Linked DNA regions of Arabidopsis thaliana. The protein of the gene in region 1 purifies or fractionates together with the protein of each later gene. This does not show direct contact. Each region holds a gene or a part of one and is shown in the gene's direction. Other genes may lie near its edges.

Evidence for each region.
Region 2: the proteins of GTC2 (region 1) and ATRPAC42 fractionate together in Arabidopsis thaliana (co-fractionation; one large-scale study listed by BioGRID). This does not show direct contact.
Region 3: the proteins of GTC2 (region 1) and NF-YB11 fractionate together in Arabidopsis thaliana (co-fractionation; one large-scale study listed by BioGRID). This does not show direct contact.
Region 4: the proteins of GTC2 (region 1) and FIB2 fractionate together in Arabidopsis thaliana (co-fractionation; one large-scale study listed by BioGRID). This does not show direct contact.

What each region holds. Positions count from the first base shown.
Region 1 is NC_003075.7:6,583,162-6,586,765, forward strand, and holds GTC2 (GTC2), read left to right. Parts: upstream 1-1,565; coding exon 1,566-2,597; 3' UTR 2,598-3,101; downstream 3,102-3,604. Other genes in the region: AT4G10660 (CDC68-like protein), read left to right, coding at 1-327.
Region 2 is NC_003070.9:22,397,376-22,402,162, reverse strand, and holds ATRPAC42 (DNA-directed RNA polymerase family protein), read left to right. Parts: upstream 1-1,749; 5' UTR 1,750-1,878; exon of another isoform or gene 1,879-1,995; 5' UTR 1,996-2,007; coding exon 2,008-2,142; intron 2,143-2,443; coding exon 2,444-2,632; intron 2,633-2,714; coding exon 2,715-2,844; intron 2,845-2,931; coding exon 2,932-3,012; intron 3,013-3,103; coding exon 3,104-3,291; intron 3,292-3,389; coding exon 3,390-3,485; coding exon of another isoform or gene 3,486-3,575; exon of another isoform or gene 3,576-3,598; coding exon 3,599-3,692; intron 3,693-3,777; coding exon 3,778-3,894; intron 3,895-3,987; coding exon 3,988-4,085; 3' UTR 4,086-4,250; downstream 4,251-4,787. Other genes in the region: AGD2 (ARF-GAP domain 2), read left to right, coding at 53-143, 282-727, 805-919.
Region 3 is NC_003071.7:11,744,420-11,748,223, reverse strand, and holds NF-YB11 (nuclear factor Y, subunit B11), read left to right. Parts: upstream 1-1,768; 5' UTR 1,769-1,848; coding exon 1,849-2,018; intron 2,019-2,037; exon of another isoform or gene 2,038-2,197; coding exon 2,198-2,316; intron 2,317-2,489; coding exon 2,490-3,028; 3' UTR 3,029-3,243; downstream 3,244-3,804. Other genes in the region: ATCOAE (dephospho-CoA kinase family), read left to right, coding at 1-137; AT2G27480 (Calcium-binding EF-hand family protein), read right to left, coding at 339-449, 547-565, 656-831, 940-986, 1,080-1,413; AT2G27460 (sec23/sec24 transport family protein), read right to left, coding at 3,357-3,568, 3,653-3,804. UniProt on the Arabidopsis thaliana protein: Component of the NF-Y/HAP transcription factor complex. The NF-Y complex stimulates the transcription of various genes by recognizing and binding to a CCAAT motif in promoters.
Region 4 is NC_003075.7:13,072,090-13,076,993, forward strand, and holds FIB2 (fibrillarin 2), read left to right. Parts: upstream 1-2,000; 5' UTR 2,001-2,149; coding exon 2,150-2,168; intron 2,169-2,410; coding exon 2,411-2,751; intron 2,752-2,844; coding exon 2,845-2,940; intron 2,941-3,024; coding exon 3,025-3,102; intron 3,103-3,189; coding exon 3,190-3,366; intron 3,367-3,473; exon of another isoform or gene 3,474-3,546; intron 3,547-3,780; coding exon 3,781-3,849; intron 3,850-3,933; coding exon 3,934-4,116; 3' UTR 4,117-4,343; downstream 4,344-4,904. Other genes in the region: DTX35 (detoxifying efflux carrier 35), read right to left, coding at 4,487-4,568, 4,868-4,904. UniProt on the Arabidopsis thaliana protein: S-adenosyl-L-methionine-dependent methyltransferase that has the ability to methylate both RNAs and proteins. Involved in pre-rRNA processing.

The sequences.
Region 1 (3,604 bases):
GGAGAGCTCTTTCTCATGTATACATGTAGCAGCGAGATACCGATGGTGTATAAACTTGTCTCCTCAAATTGGGAGGAGATAAATAGTACTACTCTTGACGGCGTGACAATCTTTGCAAGTATGTATTCCTCGGAGACGAGATTGGATGTTCTTGGGATGAGGAACAGTGTGTACTTCCCAAAGTATGGTTTAGATTGCAAGGGATGTGTATCCTACTCGTTTGATGAAGCCAGGTACTATCCGCGTAAGCAGCTTCCAAAACCAACAATATGGCAAATGCAGAAAGAACTTTGCCCTCTTAGGAGTCTGGATCGAGCCACCGTCTAAGGACATCTTAGATGTGATGAAATGATAAGCAAATGGATGATGGTAAAGGTAAGTGAAGCTAGCTTTGAGTTTTCCTATTTTATTTGATATATGTATTTGATCATAGCATGTGTGAAACTTATGGCGACTTTAAGATTCAGTACTGTTAAGCTTTATGTTTTAGCTTTCAAAGTCTTTGTATGTGAATGATTTGAGGCTATGTAAACAGTTTTATTGTTTAACTTCCATAGTCTTTTGCATGTGATTGAATTTTCATATCATTCAAACCGTAATTCTAGCCAAAACCTTTAACATGAAGATATACCCTTTTTGTGACATACTAATGCTAATTTTATTAATCCTATTGAGAATTTAATTTTCATAAGAATAAAATAAAATTAAAGATCATACCCAAAAAAAAAAAGTAATCACAACAACAAAATTTCTCTTTTAATTTTCTCTGATTCAAAACCCTAGCCGTCGTCTGAGCATGGACAAGTTTGTACTATCATGTTCCTCCTTTCTTCATCGACCATCAATAATATGAACTGCAGATTAGGGAAGGAGGTCGCAGATGGAAACGAAAGAAGGATATGAAGAAAGAAAAACGATCGAGAGCTACATATGTTCTTGAAGAGGTTATGATTTACAGTTTCTAAACCCTAGATCTCCTCATGATTTATTAGTATGACATATATATATATATATATAACTTAATACTTCTTCTGTTTTATATTAGTTGTAGTTTAAGATATTTACACACATATTAAGAAATCATAAAAATCTCATTTAATCTACTTTTTTATATAAAAAATATCATTAATTATAACCAATTCAACCAATAAAAAATATATGATTAAATACAATTGGTTAAAAAGTATTAAATATATTTATTATTTGTATATAAAGTTGAAAACAATTTGAAAAAGAAATAAAAACCCTTAAACTACATTTATATAGAAACAGATTTTAATGATAAAAAAGATTTCTTCCTTTTTATTATTTCCTTTTCTCTTTATGTTTGTGTTTACGTTTTCTTATAAATAGAGATTGTTTTCTTCTTAGAAGAGGCATCCGAAATAACTTGTTCTCGTTGAAGTTTACTTTCTTACGTTTTTTTTTCTTCTGTTCTCTTTCAGTTCTATAAAGAGGCTTATTACTTGAAGTTTGATTCTTGGTCTGTGGTTGTATTCGATCAGCTTGCTGGTGACATGTAGCTCTACAAGAATATTAACGACATACCCCAACCTAGGGATTTGATGATCACGGTTGATCACAAGAGCGACACTGTATTGTTACCAATATACGGCAGGATGGTTCCATTCAACGTGACTACAATAAGAACAGTCTTAGGCAATCAAAACACCATCCGTGTAATATTCAATGTCCCGGGTACACCCTTAAACCCTAATGACTCTTTGAAAAACAAGGACGCTATCTACCTCAAGGAGGTTTCATTCCGGACCAAGGATTCAAGGCATAGCAGCGATGTAGTTCAACAGGTTAAGAGCCTCAGACGGAAAGTCATGGCACGGGAGTCAGAGAGAGCTGAGAGAACTTCACTGGTGAACCAAGAAAAACTTCAGATTGTAAGGAACAACTCAAAACCCTTAAGTTTGTCCAATCTGTGGATCCGTCCGCCTTTTAGTGGACGCAAGAAGAATCGTGGGACACTTGAAGCTCATGTCAATGGTTTTAGGTATTCAACGACCAACGAGCGCGTTGATGTCCTGTTTGCAAACATAAAGCATGCGTTTTTTCAGCCGGCGGAGAAGGAGATGACCACCCTCTTACATTTTCATCTCCACAACCACATCATGGTAGGAACCAAGAAAACAAAAGACGTACAGTTTTATGTGGAGGTAATGGATGTTGTGCAGTCTTTAGGAGGTAGGAGGAGATCATCAGCTTATGATGCAGATGAGATTGTTGAAGAACAGAGAGAGCGCGATAGGAAAAATAAGATCAACATGGATTTCAATCACTTTGCAAATCAGGTCAACGATATGTGGCAACTACCCCAGTTTGCAAGTTTGAGCTTAGAGTTTGATCAACCTCTGAGAGAGTTTGGTTTCAATGGTGTCCCCCACAAGACATCTACCTTCATAATACCGACCTCAAGCTGCTTAGTTGAGCTGACAGAATCCCCGTTCTTGGTGGTCTGTCTAAGTGAGATTGAGATTGTGAATCTTGAGAGAGTTGGGTTTGGTCAAAAGAGCTTTGACATGGCTATCATCTTCAAGGACTTGAAGAAAGATGTTCTTAGGGTTGACTCAGTTCCAACAAGTTAGTTAGAGGGGATAAAGGAATGGCTTGACACTACAGATATAAAGTACTACGAGAGCAAACTGAATCTGAACTGGAGACAGATCCTGAAGACGATCACGGATGATCCGCAGAGCTTTACAGATGCTGGAGGATGGGAGTTTTTGAATCAGGACGGAAGCGATTCAGAGTCTGGCGGCTCTGAGGACTCAGACAAAGGGTATGAACCATCAGATGTGGAGGTTGAGTCTGAGTCAGAGGACGAGACATCAGAGAGTGAGTCAGACGATGAAGAAGAAGAAGAGGACTCAGAGCAAGAGTCAGAGGAAGAGAAAGGTAAGACTTGGGCTGAGCTGGAGAGAGAAGCTACTAATGCAGACAGAGAGCATGGAGTTGAGTCTGATAGTGAGGAAGAGAGGAAGAGAAGGAAGATGAAAGCGTTTGGGAAATCGCGTCCTGGAAGTAGCGGTGCAGGCGGTAGTAGCAGCATGAAGAACATGCCACCATCTAAACGCAGCAGGCACCGGTGAAAACAAAATAATCAAGAGTTTGAGTTCTGCTTGCTTATCATTTTAGCCTTTTGTTCTGCTTATCTTTTGTATCATATAAAAAAACTGCTTTAGATTATTATCTATCTATTCTATGCCCTTGGGAAAATAATGAAGTCTTAGGTTTCTTGTCGTTCTTAATAAAATTTGTTTCGACTTAAATTGGCAGAAAATACCATTGTGGCATCCTCTAACGGTTGGTCTTGTAAATAATTAAAGGGTATGCCATAAACCAAAAGGTAAAAATGAATACTTAAGTTATTAAAGAAATCTTGGATTCACCATTATTATTATGAGATACGAAGATGTTCCCACTATTAGTGGTGGTGAGTTTCCTGTGGGACAAGCAATAGAAAGGTTTCCAATCGACGATGTCTAAGAGACAAAACACATCAAAGCTCACAAGCTCATTCACCCATCTCCCTGCTGATGCTGATCTTGTCTTCATCACCCATGCATCAACTTCAACTTAATTAGCTTATATA
Region 2 (4,787 bases), on another chromosome or scaffold:
GATTGGTGATCTTTACTTTCCTATGATCCTATCTTCTGTTGAATATTTACAGTGAAAAGGGATCGACAGACACACTTGCATCAGTTTCGAAACCATCTTCAGAAGATTGGTTTACTCTGAAGGAGAAATATATTAACGGAAAGGTATGAGATTTAGTTCTTAAAGTTTTCGCATACATAGACCTCAGATTCATGTCACTTGACGCATCATCCAAATGAGCATATTCTTGTGAATAGAAAAGGCTTATGATACTAAAGCTGATAATGTTTATGCCTAGCTAGTACCTGGAGAAAGCACTAGTTGTCAAAGATGAAAGAGAAGCAAATTCTACTGCCTCAAGTAGAATATGGGAAGCGGTTCAAAGCAGGAACATAAGAGACATCTACCGACTCATTGTAAAAGCAGATGCAAATATCATCAATACCAAGTTCGATGATATTACTGACCTTGATGTATATCACCACCACCATGTTGATGCACCAGATGAAGTAAAGAAAAGGCACGATCCAAATGCGTGTCAGAGAATCAAGAATTCGAACGAAGCAAGAAACTGTCTTCAAGGCTGCTCATTGTTGCATGTGGCGTGTCAAAGCGGTGACCCAATCTTGCTTGAACTGCTGTTGCAGTTCGGGGCTGACATAAACATGAGAGATTACCACGGACGAACTCCATTACACCATTGCATCGCATCAGGGAACAACGCATTTGCAAAGGTTTTGCTGAGAAGGTAACACACTAACTAATAAATCTCATGAGGGGCACTTTGAGTAGATACTTAGTGTCTCTCTTCTTTGAATTTGACAGAGGTGCTCGTCCATCAATAGAGGATGGTGGAGGATTAAGTGTGTTGGAAAGGGCAATGGAGATGGGAGCCATAACCGATGAAGAGCTCTTCCTTCTATTAGCAGAGTGTCAGTAAATTACCAATATACCATTTGCTGATTGATTGCTACGCAAAGGAATGTAACTTGTAACTGTTGTAGTATTTGGTCATGACTTGCTCATCGCATTGATGCTCCAATATTTACCTAATTCCCGAAGGAGATAGAACTCTAGGAAATGTCAAGATTCCGACCTACTGTATTAGCCTTTGTAATGTTATACATAAGATGATCTCAAAGATTCTAAGCCTGCACCTCAAAGTTTTTTTTTCTTCTTCTGTATTTGATATCCGAGATACAAATATGTGTTTTGTAGCCGGAAACTTTATTATAGACAACATTCTCATTGCCCAACAAAAATTTGATGAAGTAAGTGTCGTGTTTTCTTCTATTATTTTGCTCTAAATTAAGTAGTGCTATTGCCACATTCTTAGATACTAACGTAGAAGAGTCCCATCGACATTTTTTTTTTGACCAATATTAATTAGAGTTCAAAAAAGCCTATCATTCACAGTAGATGCCAAAAACAAAAGGAGTCATTCCTAGAATTGTTGTTTACATATGTTTTTAGTTTATATTCTTAGCTTAACCAATATGCTGCGAATTGATTGCAGAAAAGTTTTTTTTTTTTTTTTAAATTAAACAATTCACCGAAAAAGAATAAATTCTTATTATTGTTTTTTGCTATAAAACAAAATCATGAGCAAAAGAAAGTATTCATCTTGTGGAATAAATTTTTATTTTTTAAAGTAATGGCTTTATTTTTAGTGTTAAACAGTATTCTTTTGAAATGTAAAAAAAGAAGAAGTATTCTTTTGAAATGAATTTTTTATTGTTTCTTTTGGTAATAATGCGTTTTAATTCGAACCGGAAAGAGTTAAGGGATTAAATAAAACCGGCGGCTTTTTCAAAACCCTTCACCGTTTGTTCTTCATCTCCTCGCCGCCGCCTCCTACTCTCTCTTTCTCTCTAAATTGCTCAATTCTCTCGGCCACAGGTAAGCTTCTTCGACTTCACTCTTTGACCCAATACTACTTTCCTCACCCCCTGTGGTTTCCTTTGTTAAACCCTTCAATTCTCTTTCTCAATTTGATAAACCCTAGTTCTGCTATAGACCTAGACAAGGATGGTGACTAAAGCAGAAAAACAATTCGCCAAAAATTTCAACATAGACGATCTCCCTGACGTCCCTGCCGGACTTCCTCCACATCTCAAAGCCCAGCAAACTCGTGTCGTCTCTAAAAACAACGCTCCTGCTCATGTAAGAACTATTCTCGTTCAAAGTTACAATCTTTTATGCTCTGTTTTGTTGGTTATAAGCTTATCTAATTACAAATTTTATAGCTTTTCTCAATGATCCCATGTGGGTTTGAGTTCTATCGTTGCTGTGTTCATGATACAGAGTAAAAGTTTTGTTTTTTCCTGTGAAAAGCTGTGAATTTACGAGTTTGGCTCTTAAGTGTTTTACCAGAATACACCTTTTGTTTTCAAATTCAAGATGATATTGAGTAGTGATTGTTTGAAATTTGAAGTCTTTAATCTTGTGTTTGTGTTTTCTGTAGACTGCGAGTGCCATTTACTCGGGTACCTATGTTTCTTCTACGGAAGAGGACGACAATGTGAAGCTAGGAAACTTCTATGATAACTTCAAAGTTGATGTGGTTAGTCTCACAAAGACAGATATGGAATTTGATATGATTGGTATTGATGCAGCGTTTGCCAATGCATTCCGAAGGATCCTTATAGCTGAGGTCTGTCAAGTTTTCATACAACCTCTGATGAATCCCTCATTGTTGTAATCTTTGGCTTAAAGTGCTTCTTTCTTTATTGCAGGTTCCTTCAATGGCTATTGAAAAAGTGTTGATAGCGTACAACACATCGGTTATTATAGACGAAGTTCTTGCTCACAGGATGGGTCTTATTCCAATTGCCGCAGATCCAAGACTTTTTGAATATTTATCCGGTAAGCATATATTTCAGTGGTATGTGATCCATCTACATATGATGATAATTCTTCTGATTAGCTTACTTCTTTATCTGTGTATGATAGAACATGATCAGGCGAATGAAAAGAACACCATTGTATTCAAACTCCATGTGAAATGTCCGAAAAATAGACCACGTCTTAAAGGTAATATATGTTCATTAGTTAGCATCAGAAGATTTCTTGTTTTATTATCAGCTCCATCTCTCATGAAAGATATCATTTCGTTTTCTTGTAGTTTTAACGAGTGATTTAAAATGGTTACCAAATGGAAGTGAGCTTCTGAGAGAATCGGAAAATAAAACCTCAAAGCCAAAAACTTACACTTCATTCAGTTGCAGCCAAGATTCATTACCTGAATTTGCTAATAATCCTATCACTCCATGCGACCTCGATATCTTGATAGCAAAACTCGCCCCTGGTCAGGTAGTGTTTCTGTACATTCTTTTTATATACACCCAAGCAGACCATACTTGCAATGAGAGATGAAACATGTGCATCTTCTTTTATCTCTTTTTTCCCAGGAAATCGAGCTCGAAGCTCATGCGGTTAAGGGCATTGGTAAAACACATGCAAAGTGGTCTCCAGTAGGGACTGCTTGGTATAGAATGCATCCTGAGGTGAGAAGTATATACATCAATCTATCATATGCTTTATGGGAAACAGCTCTTTGTTTTGTCTTTCCTCATCCCAATATATATGTTTCGTAATGCTTTTGTTTATACTATCTTAGGTGGTTCTACGTGGGGAAGTTGAGGATGAACTTGCTGAACGACTTGTAAACGTCTGCCCACAGAATGTTTTCGACATTGAAGACATGGGAAAAGGTGAAGTATAAAATCTTATGCAAGCTGATGAACTTGGCTGCATGACTTACTTAAATTTGATTTCATACTGACTTGTGGAAAACAGGTAAGAAAAGGGCAACAGTAGCGCAGCCACGTAAGTGCACATTGTGTAAGGAATGCGTAAGAGACGATGATTTGGTAGACCATGTGGATCTTGGCAGTGTTAAGAACCATTTTATATGTAAGAAGAGAAAAATAAAACCCATTCCTTTTACTCTGCTACTCATGATCTGAAAGATATCGTAATTGAGTTTCTTGTCGTCTTTTTTCTCAGTTAACATTGAGTCCACCGGATCACTGCCTCCAGAGGTTCTCTTCACTGAAGCTGTGAAGATATTGGAAGCTAAATGTGAAGCTATAACCGACTTTTGAGTTCTGGTTTAGTTCAATTTTGAATTGTCTGTCTATCAATGTTTCTCCTCCTATTGATAAATTACCAACAAACAACATTGACATATTTATTTATACGGTTGTTGTTCAATTTGGATTTTCATTAGCCTTCTGAGTTCTGATTCATAACAAAATTCCTAGCTGAACCAATTTTGGAAATCTGCTTCGGTTTAATTTGGTTTTACTATTCTACCACTAGAACACTGACGCCATTCCTTACATTGTGCCAATCAAGGTGTGTGTTGGTAATAGTAGTTTTTGGTTTCATTGAACACTTAAAATAGCGTCAGTGGTAGAATAGATCCCTGCCACATTAGATTATACAAAATGTTCTCATTAAATATGAACTATGAGAGTTTATGTATAAATAACTGAAGAAGTAACATTTAAACAAGTAGCACCAGTGGTCTAGTGGTAGAATAGTACTCTGCCACGGTACAGACCCGGGTTCGATTCCCGGCTGGTGCAATAGAGCTGTGATGAAATCGGTTTCTGTAAAGGTTGGGTCCTTTGCATTTCTCCAGTTTATCTGGTGATATGGCCTCTTAACTGAGCTCTTTCTTTTTCTATTTTTTCTTTACCTTTTTAAGTTTTCTAATTAGAAGACATCAGTACATAAACAGTTGATTATGCTAATAGTAAGACTGATTATGATAAGGGAATATAAACAAAGTTCGACAATGT
Region 3 (3,804 bases), on another chromosome or scaffold:
TCGAGAAGGTTTTGATTGAAATTAGAAGACCATTGACGTGGATCGAGTTTTGGCGTTCAAGGCAAGGAGCCTTCTCGGTCCTTGGTTCAGTGATTTTAGGATTATCTGTTTGCAAACAGCTCAAAATTGGCTCTTAACATTTCACTTCTGTTACTGCTAAAAAACTTGTTATAATCTTAAAGCTTTGATTTATTATTCTCTTGCTCTCTTCAGCATTAGCTTATTACACTATTCACTAGTTTGAATTCACTCTCCTATTCAGTCAGTACTCAGGCATCTATTATCTATATACAACTTGAATCTGTGATTGAGAAAAAGAAAGAAGTAGCAAGTGACCATTAATCATAGGTGGCGATGAACGGAATGACCATCAACATGAAGACATCGTAAGAGAGCGTTGCGTAGCCTGTGTAACCAGGGTCGTTCTCCCTGAACTTCTCTGTCAATCCCTGTTAATAAGCATACGACACATTTTAAACAATTTCAAGTGGTTTAGATTCATGTAAACACATTGTCGAAATTCTCATGGAGGTTAAAAGATCATACCTTCACAATCATCCCACACCTGCAGAACAAAATGAGGGAAACAAACCGATGATGCTTAGTATACAAATTAAGAACCGCAAGAATCGATGAAAACATACAGAAAACTTACTCGAGGAAGCTGTCGAAACATAGGTCAACAGTTTTGCCAGTCCCATCATCAAACTGAGATACGATAAGCTGGTGAACCGAGGTTGGAAGCACGCACCCGAGATTATAGAAAGCGTCTCTGAGCTGGGTAGAATTCATCTTTCCACTCCTATCTCTATCGTACCTGTTAAATATTGCCTACAAAAGAACACACATTGAAAAGTAACACTCCATTTTTAACTTTTAAGGCATAGAAGAATACACACATTGCCTCAACTAGATTGATCCACATAAGTGTTCACTTACACGCCATTGCGCAAGGCAGTTCCATAACTCAACATACTCCTTAGGACCTACATAAAAAGGTAGAAACATGGCTATTTTGTAACATCATTCATATTTGAAATCAAAAAGCCAATTTCAAAAGCTGCAATAAGTGAATTTACCAAGCCGAAGCAGAGAATCTACAGGAATCTTGTAAATAAACAACAGCAACCTAATCGTTCTGTTACTAATTCCATCGTACCCAGATAACGACAACGCTTGCCGGAGCTCCGATTCTTCGAGAAATCCGCTCCGGTTTCTATCCGCCGACTCAAAGCTCCTCACAATCTCCGGATGCGTTTCCGGGGAAAACATCCCGGAGTAAGAGCTGAATTGCTGAGTTGGTTGATATGATGGATACGCGTAAGTGTATCTACTTTCACCATCGTGCTGCTGCTGAACGAACGATTCTGGTAGCTCCGGTGCCGACGGTGCGTAGGCGTTTGAGTAAGACATTAATCAGAGTATGAAATTCTTAGAAATGGCTCGAATTCGGAGAATCTGGTTATTCGAAGATGTCTCAAATTCCAGAGGTTGAAGACGACTCCGATTCTTATTCGTGTTTTGATCGAATTTATTAGTATTACGATTGGACGGTGAAGATTTAATAAAGGTTATCCAACGGTGAGATTGACAACGTGCTCATAACTCTTTAGTGCTTATCAATTTGAATAATGGGCCGATTTGCTAGTACGATTTGACGGCTAGGATTTTGTCAATCAATCCAACGGGTAATATTGAGCGGCGTGGTCATAACTCTTTAGTGCTTATAAACTTGAATATGGGCTTTTAAATATTTTAATAGGCTGATCAGCTTACTGGGCCGATGTGTTTTGTTGTATTATTAACATAAAGGCGGGAAAGACGGCGACTGAGAGAGAGGAGAGAAGAATGGAGTCGGAGAAAGTGGTGGTGGACGAGCTGCCGCTAGCTATTGTGCGCCGGGTGGTGAAGAAGAAGCTGTCGGAGTGTTCGCCGGATTATGACGTCAGTATTCACAAGGAAGCTTTGCTCGCATTCTCAGAGAGTGCGAGGATCTTCATCCACTACCTCTCCGCCACGTATGTACACTTCACAAACCCTAACTTTTTTTCGAATTTCTGCACTATGATAGTGAATGATTTGGAATGTTCCAAGTTTGGGTTTATGTTAATGTGATTCAATTGATGAATGTTAGTGTTTGTGAATTGTGATCGATCGAATTGATGGATTTAGTTTAATTTGGGGGTGAATGATATAGGGCAAATGATTTTTGTAAAGATGCAAGAAGACAAACTATGAAGGCTGATGATGTGTTTAAGGCATTAGAAGAAATGGATTTTTCAGAATTTTTGGAGCCGCTTAAATCTTCTCTTGAAGGTAAGTGTTTTGTTCGGATGAAGATCCTATTGTCACTATCTGTTGTTACTTTCATGGAGTGTTAGTAGAAATGGCTTAGGTTGTGATTTGTCTTGTTATGGACACTGGCCTAGGTGTGTGCACTTTGAGCTTATGATGTCAATCCTAGTGTAATCCACATGACTGGTTTTCAGATTTTAAGAAGAAGAATGCGGGGAAAAAGGCGGGTGCTGCAGCTGCTTCGTATCCTGCTGGTGGAGCTGCTTTGAAATCTTCAAGTGGAACTGCTTCGAAGCCCAAAGAGACGAAGAAGAGGAAACAGGAAGAACCATCTACGCAAAAGGGTGCAAGGAAAAGCAAAATAGATGAGGAAACTAAGAGGAATGACGAGGAGACTGAGAATGACAACACGGAAGAAGAGAATGGAAACGATGAGGAGGATGAGAATGGAAACGATGAGGAAGATGAGAATGACGATGAAAATACAGAAGAGAATGGGAATGATGAGGAGAACGACGATGAAAATACGGAAGAGAATGGGAATGATGAGGAGAACGAGAAGGAGGATGAGGAAAACAGCATGGAAGAGAATGGGAATGAGAGCGAAGAGAGCGGGAATGAGGACCATAGCATGGAAGAAAATGGGAGCGGGGTTGGTGAAGATAATGAGAACGAGGACGGGAGCGTAAGTGGAAGTGGTGAAGAGGTAGAGAGTGATGAAGAAGATGAATGAACTCAAGGTTATATTTTTGCTAAGAACATGTTTTCAGGTTTATGTTGGAGATTAGCTTGTAAGCTTGAAGCAGTGGTTGTGGCCATGAGCATGTAATAGACTAACATATCTTTTTGCTCTTTGGCTCTAGTGTTACCAAATATGTAAGTCAAAGTTTAGAAAATGAAGTTTTGCAACAAAATTTTAGCTTAATTATTCATTTTGATTAAGAGAGCAAAAAAGTTGGGATGCTAGTCTAAAGCAAATGTTACAACAAGAAGAGTAAAACTCTGACACAGTTGAAAATTTTGAGTTTGGATGTATAATAAACTAGAGGGTCATTTGGCTTTCACTTCATGTATTCAGTGACACGCTGCGAAATATCATCGAGGAAAGACACGAAACCCATGGCGCTAGCAAAACCATTACCGTCCACATCTTGTTCTTCTATAAGATAGTTCTCAAAGACAGTAGCATCGTCTCGTCCTCCTCGGATAAACACTAGTTTTGGTGTGATGCTCCTTTCTTGCTTCACTTTATTTATGGTCTGCCTCAATAAACCTGTAAGATATAAGTTTTCGAATCAACATAGTCTCAAAGATCTAAAGGTGGTTGAACTGGATTTCATTTGGTGAGAAAACTTACAGTCTTGAGGTGGAGGGAAAGGTATTGACGGGTCTGCTGTTGATGAGTAGAAGACTATCAAAGTGGTATATGCATCTAGGAAAAATATCGGACTACCACTTGTTATCAATGCTGCACGGCTCAACGAATGACGCGGATATGCCAGTGTATCC
Region 4 (4,904 bases), 6.5 Mb from region 1:
GCAAAGTGTGTTAGCTCATTATGCACATGGTGGTTTAGCTCTTTATGTAGATTGTTAGGATCTGGTTTGAAAAAATAAATAATAGTTACTTAACATTCATACCCAAAAAAATAATAAAGAATAGTTGATAATATTTCATGAAAATCGATTTGTTTTGGTGGACATACATCGTCGTCTCTACTCTATTGTCTCGATCGCAAGTAATATGACAAATAAAGCAGCAGCCCTAGCAATAAAACATGTGACTACTAAAATAGGAGGATTTATCTTTACTTGACGAACTATAAATTAAATATCTACTCTTTTACCTTGACTTTGAAAATTACTTTTTAAGATTGCCTTTTACAATTATGTGGAATAGCGGCACACATTTACGTAAATTTAACTTCAATTTAAAACAATGATTTATTCATTTTCATCATACAAACTTTTCAGCACATTTTCTCCTTTTTAATATAATTTTATATATTATAGATAGAGATATAGATCAAACAATGTATGACTTTAAACTTAGATTGTAAATTCTTCTTACTATGCTCGAAAATTTCATCTACGTATATAGATCTATTGTAAACCTAAGTTTAAAACGGAAATCAGTTATTGATAGTAATCTAGTAAGTTTAATCAACTATGCGTTATAACATAATGAAATCATATATACGAGCTTAGATATCTAATTCAGTTAATCAACAAGTCAACTAAACAAGGCTTCACTTTTCCACACCTCTACAGATCGAAATTATTATATATTCGAATTATGTAACTAATGTAAGTCTTGCAACGTGTGGATAGATACAAAATGGATATGTCCATAGGTATACATATTAAAAATATAACTAGAAATGGTATATTACTAACAAAATTTTACCCCCAAAGGTGGCCATCCACTAGTAGCCACATGCTTATCTAGTAGACATTGAACATGATAAAAAGTGCCAAATAAGTGGAATAATCAATGGGAATCTTCATTCCTATAAACAAAAACATTTTCAAGCCTATGACATAGCTAGCTACTCTACAACATGTATATGCCAATTGGGATATAAATGTATTAAAGCATAACCATTAATTTGACAAATAGAAATAAATAGTTCAGAATGTATAAGTTGAGAAAAGTTATAATGATTGGTAGGGAGAGACTCAAAAAGAAAAAAGGATGGGTAATGGGACCTATTTTCCCCAACATCCCACATGCACACTTCCCTCTCCATTCTCTCACATTTATTTCTTTCATTCTAATTTATCCATTCCGTGTGTAACATATTCACTAATAATCTCATCTCACTAACTCATTCATTGATTGTGATATGTTTATCTAGAATTAGTGTTTTAACACTGTGTCTACATATGATTTCCTTTTCATTGTATGTGAACATGTTAACTCACTAATCATTTTGTATTTTCGAGTTAACATGAGTCTCCACTTCGGTAGACTAAAGTAAAGATAGGTTTGAGTATAATAAAGTTTAAAATTTGCTTTAAAATCAATATTTATAAATAAGTTTTTATCATAAGTGATTTTTGTATGTTATATTGGACCTTGTATAAACAGACTACAGAAGAAAATTATTTATGAGAACTTGTAATGTTAGAGTGGACCTCGTATAAACTAATTATGTGGGCTTTTACCATAAACTATTTATGAAAATTATTATGGCCCACACCACTATAACTAAAGCCCACATATTTAGCAGCCCAGTTTCATTGTAAGAGACATGTTCGCTCTGGAACTAGAATTTTCTGGTTTTTGGGTATTTGTTTTCTTATGTGTAGAGAAATGATGGTAACGATTAAATGTTGTGTATTACAATTTACAATGGTAAGACGATTAATATATTTACACACAATTTTGTTGTTGCTGTAACACGTTAGTGTGTGTGATGATAGAATTTCATAAAGCTTTAACTACGAGGGGCAAAATGTTAATTCTAAATAGTTGACAGCAGAAAAAGATATGTATACATAATATAAGGATTAAAACGTAAATAATAATAAATAAGGCGAGTTAAATTAAAACCCTGTTAAAACCCTAGCTTGAAACACATGTATAAAAACACTTGCGAGCGCAGCTTCATCGCCATCGCCATTCTCTCTCTCATCAAAAGCTTTTCTCCTTGATTTTCGCATTCTTTAGAGTCTTAACGCAAAGATGAGACCTCCTCTAACTGGTAAGAACCCTAGCCGCCTCTTCTCTTTTCTTCATTGCTTGCTTATCAGATTAACAATGGCGAGTGACACTCTTAGCTCGTTTAGTCTTTAAAACTTTATGTCTTTAGCTGAACTGATTGTCAACTTTGTTCTTTTTTGCTTAGAACTGTATTGGGTCTGCGTTAGTTCTATCGGATATAGAGTTGATGGTTGGGTTTTATGTTAAACATGGAGTCTCTAATGAATGGTCTTTTGTGTTCAGGAAGTGGTGGTGGGTTCAGTGGTGGAAGAGGGCGTGGTGGATACAGTGGTGGTAGAGGTGACGGTGGATTCAGTGGTGGTCGAGGTGGCGGTGGTAGAGGAGGAGGAAGAGGTTTCAGCGACCGTGGTGGTCGCGGCAGAGGAAGAGGACCACCACGTGGTGGTGCTCGCGGCGGCAGAGGACCAGCTGGCCGTGGAGGCATGAAAGGAGGAAGCAAAGTGATTGTGGAACCTCACAGACACGCAGGAGTGTTCATTGCAAAGGGTAAAGAAGATGCCCTTGTTACCAAGAATTTGGTTCCTGGTGAAGCTGTCTACAACGAGAAGAGAATCTCTGTTCAGGTATTATAGAGGATTGATTAATTGATTGATGGTTTGTATTTGCACTCCTTTTGATGAATTTGTTTTTAATGGTTCTTGTGATTGAATCTGCAGAACGAAGATGGAACCAAGACTGAATACAGAGTTTGGAATCCTTTCCGTTCGAAGTTGGCTGCTGCTATTCTTGGTGGTGTTGATAACATCTGGATTGTAAGCATCAGCTTGTGTGAATCTTATTGTTGTTGTTTGCGAGACTTGGTTCATATATTGATTGTTGTTCCCGTTTCAATGTAGAAACCTGGTGCTAAAGTTCTATACCTTGGTGCTGCTTCTGGAACCACAGTCTCTCATGTGTCTGATCTTGTTGGCCCTGTAAGCAGAACCCGTCCTTTATGTTGTGATTATCAGGTTTTAGACGTGTATTGGAGTTTCTTATATATTGCCTTTGTGATCTGATAGGAGGGGTGTGTGTACGCGGTTGAGTTTTCTCATAGAAGTGGTAGAGATTTGGTGAACATGGCAAAGAAGAGAACCAATGTTATTCCAATCATCGAGGATGCTAGACACCCAGCTAAATACAGAATGCTTGTAGGCATGGTTGATGTTATCTTCTCTGATGTTGCTCAGCCAGATCAGGTTTGCTTCTTTTGTTTAACTCACAATGAATGTCTAAATATTTGCCTCAAAAAGCTTGACCCAATACCATTATATGTGTCCTTTGCTTTAAAATGGTGTTTTGATAATTGCAAATGATGATCTTACTTGGATTCCCCTTCAGATCATTATGGGTGATGCAATCTCCAAGTTTCTGATGTACTGAAAATTCTTGTTTTTGTTTTTGTTAAGCTTAATCTTATTTTACTATGTACTTGTTTTACAATTTCGTTTTTAAGAACAATACTAAATTTAAATGTCTATTATTGCTCGGTTTTGGTTCTCCTGATGTTAAACCTACTTGTTTTCTAAATGCCATTCAGCTTGTGGGTTGCTTCTAGTATACTTTATACTGTTTTGTTTATGAAATTTTCTGTGCCATTTAAAACCGTGCAGGCTAGGATCTTGGCTTTGAATGCATCATACTTCCTCAAGTCAGGAGGACACTTTGTGATCTCAATAAAGGTGGGTAGCAATCGAAACATTTATTTAATCCATGATCTCTCAAGAGAGAAAGATTAGTGAACATGTATTGTCTCATTTTTGCAGGCAAACTGTATCGACTCCACCGTTCCAGCAGAAGCTGTGTTCCAGACTGAAGTGAAGAAGCTTCAACAGGAGCAATTCAAACCAGCTGAGCAAGTGACGCTTGAGCCATTTGAGCGTGACCATGCATGTGTCGTTGGTGGCTACCGTATGCCTAAGAAGCCAAAGGCTGCTACTGCTGCTTAGAAGTTTTCTACTCTACGCTCTTCCCAGTACCTCAGATTTTGCTTTGTCTCGGTCTCTTTAGAATCTGTATGGTTTTAGGGTTTATCTTAAATTTTGAGCTTTGTAATCATTTTGAACCCTGGTTATGTTCACTTGGCTTCCAGCGCTAACTTTTTCGACAAGTTTTTGATATATGGAACAATTATAATAGAATTTTGTCGACTGAGGTTGATTTCTTTAAATAATGACACCTCGTAATGCAAATGTAAAACGCCGCAAGAATTTGCACACAAACAAAACAAAGTTTGAAGACACGTTGCATTTTTAGGACACAAGCCAAGGAAATGTAAATACAAAAAGCTCACGCAGAAACTGTAACAAAAAACTAATGTCAGAAGTGGGGTTTGAACCCACGCCCTCTTACGAAGACCAGAACTTGAGTCTGGCGCCTTAGACCACTCGGCCATCCTGACCTTCTTTATTAAATATCATTGACAACATATATAGCAGGATGAAAAAACTAGAATGGCTTATTCTCAAGCATCTGGAATTTTATTTGGGTTACAAATTTTTTTGATACATTTGGGTTACATGAGGAAAAGTAACTAACATTTGTAATGCAATTTTTCCTTTTGGAAGTAAGTAACAAAACATAACTGATGGAACAGTTTCCTACAATCTAAAACTCTAAATAGAACAATTTGGTGCCCAAACCAATGAAAGACAAACAAAAAGTCACTACTAAGCTTAACAAAAAAAAAACATCAATCACGCAAGTATATCCTTGGATGTCGTCTCACTCCCTCCCC